3 linked regions of the Callithrix jacchus genome follow. The protein of the gene in region 1 purifies or fractionates together with the protein of each later gene. This does not show direct contact. Links are inferred from orthologs where the notes say so. Each region holds a gene or a part of one and is shown on either strand. Other genes may lie near its edges.

Region 1 (4,296 bases):
AGCTTTGCCTTACTTCAGTTATATTCTTAGTACATTACATATATTTTTTCCTTTTAACTACATTTCATTCTTATGTCTTCCTACCATGTAAAGGAAGAATATATTTTAGGTAATTCAAATGATTAGTTTTGGTAAATATTAACTGATTTTCAAAAATGACAATTTCTACATTTTCTATCAGCAAGCCTTCATTAGGACAATTTTTAAACATGTTTCATTATAAAACATGCATTTTTTAATCAAACAAAGGACATAGATTAAAAGTTGTAATGGGATATCTAGCTATCATCTATTACTGAATCTCCATCTTTTATTTGTAATTGTCCCTGATTTTATCCTCATTTAATTCCATTGCTTTTAGAAAATGGCGTTTTAATTTTAACGAAGATTTTTTTTCCTATGGAAACCTTATTGAATAAGTCTTCCTTCTCAGGTTAATAACTCTCATTAAAAGTAGTTTTCATGTGTTTTATACAAAAACAACTTAATGCAGAGACTTGTGCCACTATTATGGTCAAGGTTAATAATGTCTTGGGAAACTATGAGAAAATACTAAATGATCAGAGATCACGTATTTGTGGAGTGGAGACGATTCCACTACCATACATATGGCAGCAACAACAAAACTGGAGATACCCAGTGGATTTTGATTACCTACTGTGTATCAGATTTTTCTTTCTCCGAAAACCATGATTACCGTATTCTCATGATAAATAATCCGGTGAGACAAAATGAAATTCTAGGATTAACCCTGATACCAGCAACATCTTCACTCGCCAACAAGCTTTTAAACCCCCAAACTGGCTCAATGCCTTGTGTAAGCAGTATTTCAATAACATTTGCGTAAGTTAAAAAAAAAAAAAAGTTAAGTGGGAGGGAATTTAGGGGTCCTTTGTTCCCTATAACAACTAAAAGTCTTGGTTCCTCAAATACAACAGATGCAGTAACAGTAACGGAACTATTCAGTGTCTCCTATGAGACCCCACGCTTTTCCTGGGCTGCTCCCATCTGAGCAGGAGTCTTACTCCAAGGAACCTGGTTTTCTCTCCTTTACTGGATACATGAGGTACAAAATCTGTTACTTCTGTGGATGTTGGATTACTTGTTTGTAAACTGAGAAACGTGGACAAAGTCTTCTCTAACTTTCCCTGCACTACCTCTGGAGGTAAGAGAGAGTACAAGGCTCAATCAGGAAAGTTATCCCAATCAACCTCTTGTGGGCCCGGAGGAGGAGATCTGTTAAGTTAAACTTGGTGGTCAATAAACTGAAAGCAGCGACCCGGAGGGCCGCGAGACAAGCAGCGGGGATGTTGGATAAGAAACCCAGAGTTAGAGCCGCAGCCGAAGCCGCCCCCTTTTCCGGAGCCCCGTCCGCTCCTGGAACCGGGTTCACACCACGCCACCTGCGACACGTTCTGCGTCAGTGAACTACATTTCCCAGAATGCCATTCAGGCTTCTTCCCAGGGCTCCAATGAGCGCCCTAGTGACGCCATCAGTCGGCTCGGTGTTTAGAATCTACAGCTGTCGTGGCGCTTTGCTGGAAGAAGTTGGTGTTCCGCGGGGCCCTGGTACTGAAGACGCGGTTCGGGTCACCCCTAGCTCTTTCCTACCCACCTAACCCCCCGCGCCCGCCTTTTTCCTCTCTCCTCTGGCAGGATGAGGCGCGCAGGCCTGGGTAAGAAGAGGGCCGAGGTTCGAAGTTCGGGGCCCTAGAACCGGCCATGCTGGGCGCGGGAGCGCGGGGGCGCGGGAGCAAATCGGAGCTATCTTTTGTTCTTGGCATTTGGTCCAAAAAGCAGGATCTTTAGAGGGTATCTTTTGGGCCTTGTCGAGTGGAAACACACCATTTGTCCCAGATCCTAGGAGTTTCCTTAAGTTTGAGTCAGATTCAAGTTTGGATGGTAGGCTAGAGAAAGCATTGGACTGGGGTGGGTGTGTACAGGTGACATCTCAGTGGTCGAGTGTTTTAGTGTTATTGACTGAGCTTGGTTATGGACACTGGTGTGTTTTACAAAGCCCGACTTCGGTTTCTGTTTCTCTACTGGCCCTGGATCTTTGTTTCTTCAGAAGCGGAATTTGAAGAGTGGGTAGTTGCACGCAAAGCACACTGATAATGGTCGTTAATCTGGTAACAGTGAGTTACAAAGGTAAATGTACGTGTCATTACTGTTAAAGGTCCTGGAACTGTAACATCTGGGTGAAAGGCGATTTCTTATCTGAACCTTGTGCCATGATTAAGGCAGTAGAATGTAGTAAGGTTTGGTATCTTAACATTTGATCTTGACCTTGGGGTTTAGGAAGCTGGCTCACCAGCAAGAATAAGTTAGGCACAAGGAATTTTAATGGTCCTCTATAGTAACATACAGCTATTAGAGCAGCGTTTTCTGGTTCTGAAGCTTTCTCTTAGGACAGTATTTTTTTTTCTAATAAGACTGCTACATTAGAGTGCTGTATACTTCAGAAAATAAATGAAACATTTGCAAAAAGATAATGTTATCTATCTCAGTCATTATAAGATTTAAAAAAAAAAAATTCCAAAAAGTGTCAGATATTTAAAGTCAATGAAAGTTGCCAATAACTATAGACTTGTTATCGATTAATAAATTGTAGTATGAGAAAGTTTTTTTTAATGAAGTTTTTATGACTACTTGGATCATAGAAAGAATGTAGGGCCAGGTACATTGAAGAGAAAAAAAAATAATTTTCAGCAAGTTTAGTTTTATATACCTAAATGTTTTTCTTGTTCATCATCATTAATGATAAAAAAGGATTTATTGTGTGCCTGAGTAAGCTCTAGGTTTACAGTTGTTTGCTGCCCTCTTTGTGCTCCCCAAAGCTTCCAGTCTAGGTGTGGAGTAGGAATATGTGCAAAGATAACTTATAGTACAAAGTAGTTGCTATATATCCAAATACCAGATAAGTTCTGCATATAAGTGATGGTCTCAGAGGCTTCAGATATAGATCACTGTATACTTTGTGGAGAAGATCCTTGTGTATCTTGTGGAGACTTAGGAATTTGAAGTAGACCTTGAATAATGGAGAGTGGGGGAAGTGAGTTCCAAATGGGAACTCAAAAAAGTAAGGGATTATGACTAAGCCAGTTTGGTTGAAGTAGGGGATGAAGGATCACACTGTGGAGATCTTTGCATGTGAGGCTGAAGAGTGGATTTCATGGCCAAAGAGTTTGGATTTCATCAGTAGGCCTCTAGGCCCTTTGGAGTATTTTTCTGTTGTAGTATGCCATGTTAAATTGCAGGAAAATGACTTGAGAAATGGTTCTCAGCCCCGGGAAGTTTTAAACTTATTGTTACCTGGACCTCAGCTCAGCCAGTTAAATTAGAATCTCACTAATTTAGAGCCCACTACCCCATACTCCTTTTTTTTTTTAAAGCGCTCTCCTGTGATTGAGAGGAGAGGTGATTACTTAGGTAACTGCTATTGCTATAATTTATATTGATGTGAAGTGACAAAGGCTTTTTTTACACATTTTTTTCTTTTCTTTTCCCTCCCTCCCTCCCTCCCTCCCTCTCTTCCTCCCTCCCTCCCTTCCTTCTTTTCTATCTTTTTTTTCTTTTCTTTCTTCTTTTTGAGACAGAGTCTCCCTCTGTTGCCCAGGCTGGAGTGCAGTGTTGCAATCGCAGCTCACTGCAGTCTCCACCTCCCAGGTTCAAGCAATTCTCCTGCCTCAGCCTCTCAAGTACTTGGGATTACAGGTGTGCACGACCACACCTGATTAATTTTTGTATTTTTTAGTAGACGGGGTTTCGCCATGTTGGTCAGGCTGGTCTCGAACTCCTGACCTCAGGTGATCCACCCACATTGGCCTCCCAAAGTGCTGGGTTTACAGACATGAGCCACTGCGCCTGCACTTCTTTTCATGTTTTTAAGTATCAATGTATATTGATCTGAAATTTTAAATTTGGGATTGTAGTGAATCTGATAGATATTCATAGGCAGAAGCTGTCACATTCATATGTGTCTCTAAATGGTTCTGTTAGCTTACTGATAGAACCTATCCAAAAGAAGAATCATTTTTCTAAACTAACAAAGGCTGTGTATGATCTTCAGTACCCGCTAGCTTTTTTACACCTTTCATAGCAGTATACCGCCAGAAGAGAAGTGGCTCTGTTCAGAATAGCAATTCTAGCATTTTATTTGTTTTTGTTTTTTTGTCCATTGTATTTGGGGTGGCTCATAATTTGAGAGAACATCAACTCTTTAATAGGAGAAATGTGCATTAACATATTTTTGTACAATAAACAAGAATTTCACTTTGAATAAATAGAACAGCATGG
Region 2 (4,284 bases), on another chromosome or scaffold:
GCTGAGGCAGGAGAATCTCTTGAACCCAGGAGGCGGAGATTGTAGTGAACCAAGATTGCGCCATTGCACTCCAGCCTGGGCAGCTGAGAGAGACTCCATCTCAAAACAAAAAAGAGATTTCCTATGATCTGGCTGTAACCTTTCTTCGAATACTATTATTGCCCAAGTACCCTGAATCCAGCCAGAGGAGATTCATGTTCTTTCCTTTTGTTTGCCTTTGCTCAAGCTAGTCCCTCAGCCTCAAATGCCCTCCTCATTTCTGCATACAATAAATATTTTCAGAGTGGTTAGTATATGCAAGACACTGTTAAGATGCTGCTGATTCTTGAAGGTCCTATTAGTAAGCTATTTTGTCCATGATCCCTTTTTGATCCTCCCCAGGGAAATAGTACTTTGTATCAATTGTAGCATGTATTCTACTTAATAATGTAGCTTGAAGTTAGATTAGTCCTCCCAACAGACCATGAGAGATATAGGAGATTTGAGGGCTGTGTCTTGCTTTTGTTTCTGTCACCCATATCTGTGCATGGTACATGGTAGATGCTCAATGACAGAATAAGTGAAAACATGATTTTAGGAAAAGAATGTACATGGGCGGACAGTCTCTTGGGACACAAAACTGGGTGGGATTCAGGATCCAGGAAAACAGAAGTATCAACTTGTTGAAGAAAAGAACGTCTCCTCGTTTGCGAGGAATAGCAGATAAGCTTGGGAGGATGGAAATGGGATAGCCTATGTGGAGATGCAGAAGTGTCCAAATCCCAGCCCCGGCTCAAATGCCACCCCTTCACTAAGTCTTTCCTAAATCTCCTCCTAGAGACCAGCTCAGCTCAATTTCTTTGGAATGTTTGGAATCTCCTGTAGAATGTTTATCTTGATATATAAAATTTATAGAAAGCCATTGGTTTGGAATGAACTCATGCACTAGGCCCAATAGACCAAACCAAAATAGTCACTCCTGCTGAAGTTCGAAGCCACAAAATTAAGCTGTTCATCTGACCTTTGGAGAAATCAGAAGAGAGGGAAAATAGCCATATCCCCATGATAAAGGAAGTCCCTTCTGCTTTAACCAATACAAGTAAAATAACTTTGAAACTTGTTCTTTGTTTCTGCTTTTTTCAGCCCTTTTCTGTCTATAAAAAAAAATCTCCTTTAGTCAGCTCGTCAGAATACTCATTCTATTTTACAGAATAAGGTGTTGCCCGGTGCTAGGATCGCAATAGCTAGTTAAGATCTATAACTACATTTCTTGTAATTTTGTCTTTTTATAGTATATATATCTTATTTCCTTTTCCAGACCAGAACCTCTCTGAGGGCAGGAGGAAACCGGTTTTCCCCACTTTACACACGACACAAAATAATCACTCATTCAATGTGGGTTTATTGGATGGATAAACAGGAACGGGGGGTAGAGGAGGCGGGAGAGTGAGTGGACAAATGCGAGACAGGAAAAGCATGCGCCAAGGAATCCAGTGGAGAGCGAAATCTTCAGAGCCAGGATTAAATAGTTTAAAGCGAAGCCAAGCAAGAACCTCCCGTCCCTCTAGGGCAGGGAAGACCAGGTGTCCCTACTCGCCTGCAACTTTGCTCTGAGGACTTCTAGTCAGTATCCCGCGACTGTCTTTCCTAATGCCTGACCGAATACTGAGGCTAGCCGTCAGCGAACACCTACACCTCCTTGGTCTTCACGTGAAACCGAGCCTGTGACCACACTTATCCTTCCATCGCCGGCCTCATTTCTCCTTCCTCTTCTCCGATCTCGCAACCACTGTTAGTATGGCGCGCGTGCGGGCAGCCCTGGCCGGCTGGGGAGGGAGGGTCCTGAGACCGGAAGCCGGAAGTGGGGCTGTGAGGACGTGTTCGAGGAAGCCAGAGCCGCATCCGTGGCCTGCGGGGCCGGCGACATGGATACCCTGTACCAGCAAACGCACAAGTGAGGGCCGCGTCGGGGAGCGGGCGGGGGCTAGGCGAGGCTAGGCCAGGTGAGGCCTGCTTCTGGAGCTGGGGCCTCGGACGTCCGCTGGGGCAGAAGAGGCCGAGTTTTTCTGCCAGGGCACTGCTGGGGATGCCTCCGAAGTACTTAATCCCTGGCGGGACGCCCAGATCAGCCGGTCCAGCCTGGGGCCTGGAGACGTGGGGCAGATGGCTTCTGGGGTCTGCAAGCCCGTGACTACCTACTGGGTAAACTGGGTGAGGGGAAAGTGGCACCTGCAGGTTATAAAACTTTGTCCGGCGCCTAGTCGGTGCTCCGGATTGGTAGAGCTCGAGAGGAGACATGGAGTAGGAGACACGGCCCCTGCCCGTAGGAGTGTACTGCTTAATTTGGAGAGTCAAGGCACGTACGGGAAAATATTTGTATTTTTACTTGATTTATACTAAAGACCACATTTTTATGGTACAAAGAAATTGCCGTCCACATAGCATTCACTATTACTTACTTGTTAATCATATCTGGTTACAGGTTATCGCTAAGGAAATCGAATTTTAGTTTAGCTTTTCACAACTTAAATAAATTCCTTGGTAGTGTCCTTTATTCGCATCGTCCTGCACTTTTGGAACTTGCTGAGATACGTAGTTGAGTATGGTAATGGGGCCATACTTACTCTATTTTGGGGGGACAGAATGTTATGATTTTTTTTTATTGTAAAATATACACAACATAAGATTTACTATTTTAACAATCTTTAAGTGTACAATTCAGTGACATTAAGTACATTCACAACTTATATCACTACGATCCATTTTCAGAAATTTTTCATCATTCCAAACTGTGGTTATTAATCAGGCACTTCATTTCTTCCTTCCAGAGCACCTAGTAACCTCTGTTCTACTTCTCTCTGTGAATTTACCTATTCTAGATACTTTATGTAAGTGGAGTCGTACAGAATTTCTCCTTTTGTATCTAGCTTATTTCACTTAATGTTTTCTGAGTTCATCTATCTTGTAGCCTGTTATCAGAATTTCATTCCATTTTATGACTGAATAGTTGTTGTATGTATCTACCACATTTTATTATCCATTCATCTGTTGATGGGCTATTGAGAATAATAACTGCTGTGAACGCTCATGTACAAGTTTTAGTTCCTCTTCTCAATTTTTTGAGGTATATACCTATCCTGTTAAGAATCCTATTAAGAACTTTCAAACTTATGCTGTAGTTTTGTTGATTAAAACACTTAAAATGACACTCCCAAGGCCTGGAAATGAAAGGCCCTGACCATTAGGAATAAGAGGATGATGATCGTCTTACGCTTTCATTTTCTAAGTTTATGGGTTTCTTTTATTTTGGCGATGAAGAGTTTCATTTGGGTGGCGAAAATACAGAACCTACTTTGTAATGACAATTTTCTTTTACACTGGGGAGCCCTATTCTCACATAAACATTATAGGAAGGGACTTAAACTAGCCTCTGAGTCATTTAGAAAAAGCATGAAGCAAAACTGTGTTCATGTTACTGAGAAAGGGCAGATCTTTTATAGTAGCAGGGCACAATGCGCATAGTAGTGCCTTGAAGTTAATCTGTTATGTATGGTCTTATCTAGTTAATTTAGCTAAAGGATGTTGCCAAGAAGGCCATGACCCATTTTATAGTCAAGAATAATTTTGTTTAGAGAGTCTTAGACTGTTACCTGTTTTCAGTGCAGATAATCACAGAGAAATCTTCGTAGCTTGGAAGAGGAATACTAAATGGTGCCCCAAACAAGGTGTGCGGAGTGTAGATAAACTCTGTAGGCCTCTAGCTCCAGCAACGCACCCTTGGACTCTAGCAGTTTGCCAGTTTTTTCTGTTAAGGATCAGTTTTAAGATAGTAAATATTTTAGGCTTTGTTGTCTATACAGTCTCGGTAGTGACTGCTCTGCTGTTTTATCGGGAAAACAGCCATACATAATATGTAAACTAATTGAGTACCTGTGTTCCAGTACAATTTATCAAAACAAGCTGCAGTGTAGCTTTCTTCATAATTATCAGGCTCTCTATTACCCTGACACTCATTCATTCAATGAATATTTATTGAGCACCTGCTATGTGCTATGTACTGTTCTCAGTGCTGGCAGCACAGCCGTGCCCTCGAGGAGTTTACCTTGTTTCATGCTGCAGTATCTTCTTTTTTCTCAAGTGCTGCGCTAGGAGTGGGAGTTCTGGTTCTAGACATCCTTGTTTTTCCTCATCCTTAGAGTGCTGTTATAGTGTGGGCTGGTTAAACTGTAACGCTCCTTTCAGTTCCATGATACAGAACTGGTGACTGAATTACTTTCACAGGAAACACGTGGAGTCTGGAGAGCA
Region 3 (4,079 bases), on another chromosome or scaffold:
GCCACCAACAGTTTGGAGGAGTACTATGCAGATATTTTGGAGGATGTGGCTCAACTGGAATTTGTCTAGAGTGTTTTTTTTATGCTTAGATTGGAAGGTCCCGGAAGTAAAAACCCTTCTTTGTTTTTGTTTTGTGAGGCAGAGTCTCACTCTGTCTCCCAAGCTGGAGTGCAGTGGCACGATCTCGGTTCACTGCAACGTTTGCCTCCCGGGTTGAAACGACTCTCCTGCGTCAGCCTCCTGAGCACCACGCCCAGCTAATTTTTTGTATTTTTAGTAGAGATGGGGTTTCACCGTGATTAGCCAGGATAGTCTCGATTTCCTAACCTCGTGATCCACCCACCTTGGACTCCCAAAATGCTGGGATTATAGGCCTGAGCCCCCGCGCCTGGCCTATTTATTTATTTTTTGGGACGAAGTCTCACTCTGTCGTCCAGGTTAGAGCGCAGTGGCGCGATCTCGGCTCACTGCAACCTCTGCCTCCACAGTTCAAGTGATTCTCCTGCCTCAGCCTCCCGAGTAGCCAGGATTACAGGCGTGCACCACCATGCTGGGCTCCTATTTGTATTTTAGTAGAGACAGGGCTTTGACATGTTGGCCTGGCTGAAGTGATCCGCCCGCCTCGGCCTCCCAAAGTGCTGGGATTACAGGCGTGACCCACCGCGCCCGGCCCTCTTCAGCTACTTTTTCTGAAGCCAGAGAGTTAAAGGATCTCTAAAGTTTTTGTTTCCCGTCTCTGAACTACTTCACTGGTCTCCCCGAAGCAGTTCCAGTATTGGCCGGGAGAGGGAGCAAAAAAAAAAAGTAGTCCTGTTTCCTTTTCCTCCAAACGGCTTTCCCAGTGAAGAAACCCGCGAAACTAACCGAGGGGGCGGGACTAAGCTCTGCGCAGAGCCGTCAAATCCGGGCGTGGACCCCGAGCTGTCACGTGAGTGTCCGCGGTCAGCTGACTGCGCCGGACTTCCGCGGCGGGGGGCGCACAACGCGAGTCGAGGGCTTCTGCTGATTGGTGAAGGAGGATTCAGCTTCAGCACCGTGGGGCGGGGCCTCGGCGGTGCGAACTGCCATTGCCTTCCGCCGTTGCCTTCCGCAGGGGCACCGTTCGCGGGTGTGTGCGCATGCGTTGAGGTCTCGGGACGCCAATTGGGGGGTCTTGAGTCACTGGCGGCGTGCGGCAGGTTGGGGCGTGGTCGCCGGAGCGGGCGCCGCGCTACGAGGCCGCTGGTTGGCCAGCGCGAGTCACGTGGTTCCGGGCTGCAGCAGCGCGCACCGGTGCGACGTCAACGCAGCAGGTCGAGCTTTCCCGACCTGTTTTCCGCGGCCCGGCCGCGGCTGAGTCCTCCCAGGGTCGGGGTTGAGCGCCTTGTTGAGTCTCTTTGTAGTCGCCATGGACAATTCCGGGAAGGAAGCGGAGGCGATGGCGCTGTTGGCCGAGGCGGAGCGCAAAGTGAAGAACTCGCAGTCCTTCTTCTCCGGCCTCTTTGGGTGAGAACCGGGCTCAGGGGTCGGCCGGGACCTAGGGTGAGAGGACGAAGGAGTCACGGCCGGAGGCGGCGGGTTAGGCACGCAGGGCTCGGGCCGAGGGGACGGAGAGGAACCTGGAATGAGGTGATATGGTCTGAGGCGGCAGAGGGGACACAGACTGAGGGCCAAGGGCTCGGGCCGGGGCAACACGGTTTGAAGAGAGACGGTCTGACATGGCGGAAGGGACATGGGCTGAGGACACACGGGCCAAGGCGACACTGTCTTGAGGCGAGAAAGGGGACTCAGGCCAAAGACAGGCCAGGGGGCCGAGGGAGAACCTGGACCGAGGGAATACGTCCTGAAGCTTTGGAGGGGACTGGCCTGGGGGGGACGGAGGGAATCCGGGAGAGTAGGCAGGTCGGAGGCCTTTCGGAGCTCTAGGGGCATCTGTCTGAAGGCTCTCAGGCGGCGTGATGGGTCCTGGGACTGAGGACGCCCTGCCCGAGGGACTGACCTTTCCAGTCCCCCAGGGCAGTGGATTTGTGGGGGGTCCTGGGCAGTAAGGGTGATGGCTGAAGGAGGCTGACACCAGACGGAGGGTCTCGGGAATTTGGTGATCCTAGGAGTGGTGAAACACATCTGAAGTGTGTGTTGGGGGGTGCCTAGGTTGAGTCCGGCCCTGGTTAGCAGTGACTAAAGACAGCTGAACCAGGGAACCCGCATGATGGAGCCAAGAGTGAGGAGGTCCCAATACTTTGGGAAGCCGAGGTGGGCAAATCACTGAGGTCAGGAGTTGGAGACCAGCCTGACCAACGTAGTGAAAACCCTTCTCTGCTAAAAATACAAAAACTAGCTGGGCCTGGTGGCTGGTGCCTGTTATCCCAGCTACTCGGGAGGCTGATGCAGGAGAATCACTTGAACCCAGACGGCAGAGGTTGCAGTGAACCGACATCACACCGTTGCACTCCAGCCTGCGTGACAGTACGAGACTGACTCCATGTCAAAGAAAAACAAAAAGACTGAGGAGGCCTGGGTTGAGGCTAAAGACTCCTGGGTGGGGGAACACATGGTGGTGGCTTGGCCAAGGAGATGGAGGGGTAACAGGGCGAGACAGAGGGACAGAAAGAACCAAAACGGGGGATCAGAGGCCTGCTGTGTGATCCTCAAGTAATGGTGATGATGATGACAGGGACATGGTGAGAAGACGGATGGGAAGAGGCTTGGGAGACAGAACTAATGCATATGGCATGGCATAAAACTCGCATTCGCTCCTAAAAGCGACACAGCCATCCTCTGAGAAATTCTAGTGGCTTAGGAGTGTCAAGAGGCCAGGTTTGAAATGTGGCTCTGCCACTTCATGACCTTGGGTAAATTGTTCAGTCTCCCCATTAAAGGAGACCTCGAACCAAACCTACCTGCGATTTGCTGTATTAGGATTGAGCCTGGCATGGAGTTAACGTCTCTGAACATGTTAGCTGTTGTTAATGTGACTTTCCAGAAGGAACAGATTTGGAGCGTGCAGAGGGATGAGGGGTTCAAAGTTAGTGTGAGCGGAGAGGTCTGGGAGGGGTCAGAAGAGGGAGAGATGGAGAAGCATGAGTTTGCTAAGAGGAGCTGAAATAAAACACAAGAGGGACCCAGGAGGACTTAATAGGGTGGAGAGGCACATGAGACTCTGGGCAGAGGAAGTAGAAGGGAGCTGGGGAGGGTTTGGCAGGGGGTGGGAGGTGGGGAGTGAGATCTGCGCTGATGGGGGGTCCTGAAAGGATCAAGGGGAGGCTGTGGGAACAGAGAGGAGGCTTGGGAAAGGACTAGTGGGCTTGTAGAGAGGATGATGTGTGGTAGCCACTCAGAAGCAGAGCCTGGGGAAGGTGGTAGGACTGGGAGCGTCTGCAGAAGGCTGGAGAAGGGGGTTGGGGGGAGGGCCTGGGGATCGGAGGAGACCATGGTAGGAAGCTGGCAGAGGCTGGTAAGACACGAAGTGGAGGGATCTTTCCAAGAGAGGAAAGAACGGGAAAAGGCTCTGGGCCTCGCCCCTTGTTTGAGGTTGGATAATGTTTAGCAAAAGAACTTGAAGAACATGACCGGGAATTGCCTGGTGTGGGGAAACATCCGGGGCTGATGGACCATATTGATTAGGTGAAAAATGTTTTCTTTTAGAGGCTGAGAGGAGGGAGAGGGGGTATGTGTGTGTTTTCTTCATAAGGGGAGAAGTTCAAGTGCTGTGTTTGGGGGTGGGACCACGAGCTGGGTTTTTGGTGATGGTTTTCCTGGGTGGCTCTGAGTGTCTGTTCCCTTTGGCCCAGGGATTGGTGGGTACTGGACCGTGTGCTTGGAGGGAGCAGCTAAGTCAGCCCCAGGGCACTTGCTACCTGGTTGGGAAGGCAAGATGAACACCAAACACTAGTAAAGCAGAATTACGGTAAGGAAGGCCTCGATTATGTCATCCGTGTGAATGGCTGAGCTGAGAGGAAGCAGCGGGAGCTGCATGGAGGCTTCTGGTGAGGAGTGAGCTAGGCCCCAGGGAACGCCCAGGACTTGCTAAGGGAGTGGGGCCGGGGAGGGTGCTCTAGGCAGCAGGGATGGTGCTGCCGAGGTCTAGCGTGAGGAGACGT

What was found. The genes of interacting proteins can lie anywhere in the genome.
Region 2: the proteins of BET1 (region 1) and GOSR2 purify together in Homo sapiens (affinity purification with mass spectrometry; 3 studies listed by BioGRID and IntAct, with this or other methods). This does not show direct contact. The link is inferred for Callithrix jacchus from reciprocal best matches to the Homo sapiens genes BET1 and GOSR2.
Region 3: the proteins of BET1 (region 1) and NAPA purify together in Homo sapiens (affinity purification with mass spectrometry; 5 studies listed by BioGRID and IntAct, with this or other methods). This does not show direct contact. The link is inferred for Callithrix jacchus from reciprocal best matches to the Homo sapiens genes BET1 and NAPA.

Annotation. Positions count from the first base shown.
Region 1 is NC_133512.1:55,613,299-55,617,594, forward strand, and holds the start of BET1 (BET1 homolog), read left to right. Parts: upstream 1-1,463; 5' UTR 1,464-1,472; coding exon 1,473-1,569; exon of another isoform or gene 1,570-1,657; coding exon of another isoform or gene 1,658-1,676; intron 1,677-4,296. UniProt on the Homo sapiens protein: Required for vesicular transport from the ER to the Golgi complex. Functions as a SNARE involved in the docking process of ER-derived vesicles with the cis-Golgi membrane.
Region 2 is NC_133506.1:86,055,926-86,060,209, reverse strand, and holds the start of GOSR2 (Golgi SNAP receptor complex member 2), read left to right. Parts: upstream 1-1,441; 5' UTR 1,442-1,776; coding exon 1,777-1,933; exon of another isoform or gene 1,934-2,181; intron 2,182-4,284. UniProt on the Homo sapiens protein: Involved in transport of proteins from the cis/medial-Golgi to the trans-Golgi network.
Region 3 is NC_133523.1:41,452,733-41,456,811, reverse strand, and holds the start of NAPA (alpha-soluble NSF attachment protein), read left to right. Parts: upstream 1-1,236; 5' UTR 1,237-1,387; coding exon 1,388-1,485; intron 1,486-3,770; exon of another isoform or gene 3,771-3,886; intron 3,887-4,079. UniProt on the Homo sapiens protein: Required for vesicular transport between the endoplasmic reticulum and the Golgi apparatus. Together with GNA12 promotes CDH5 localization to plasma membrane.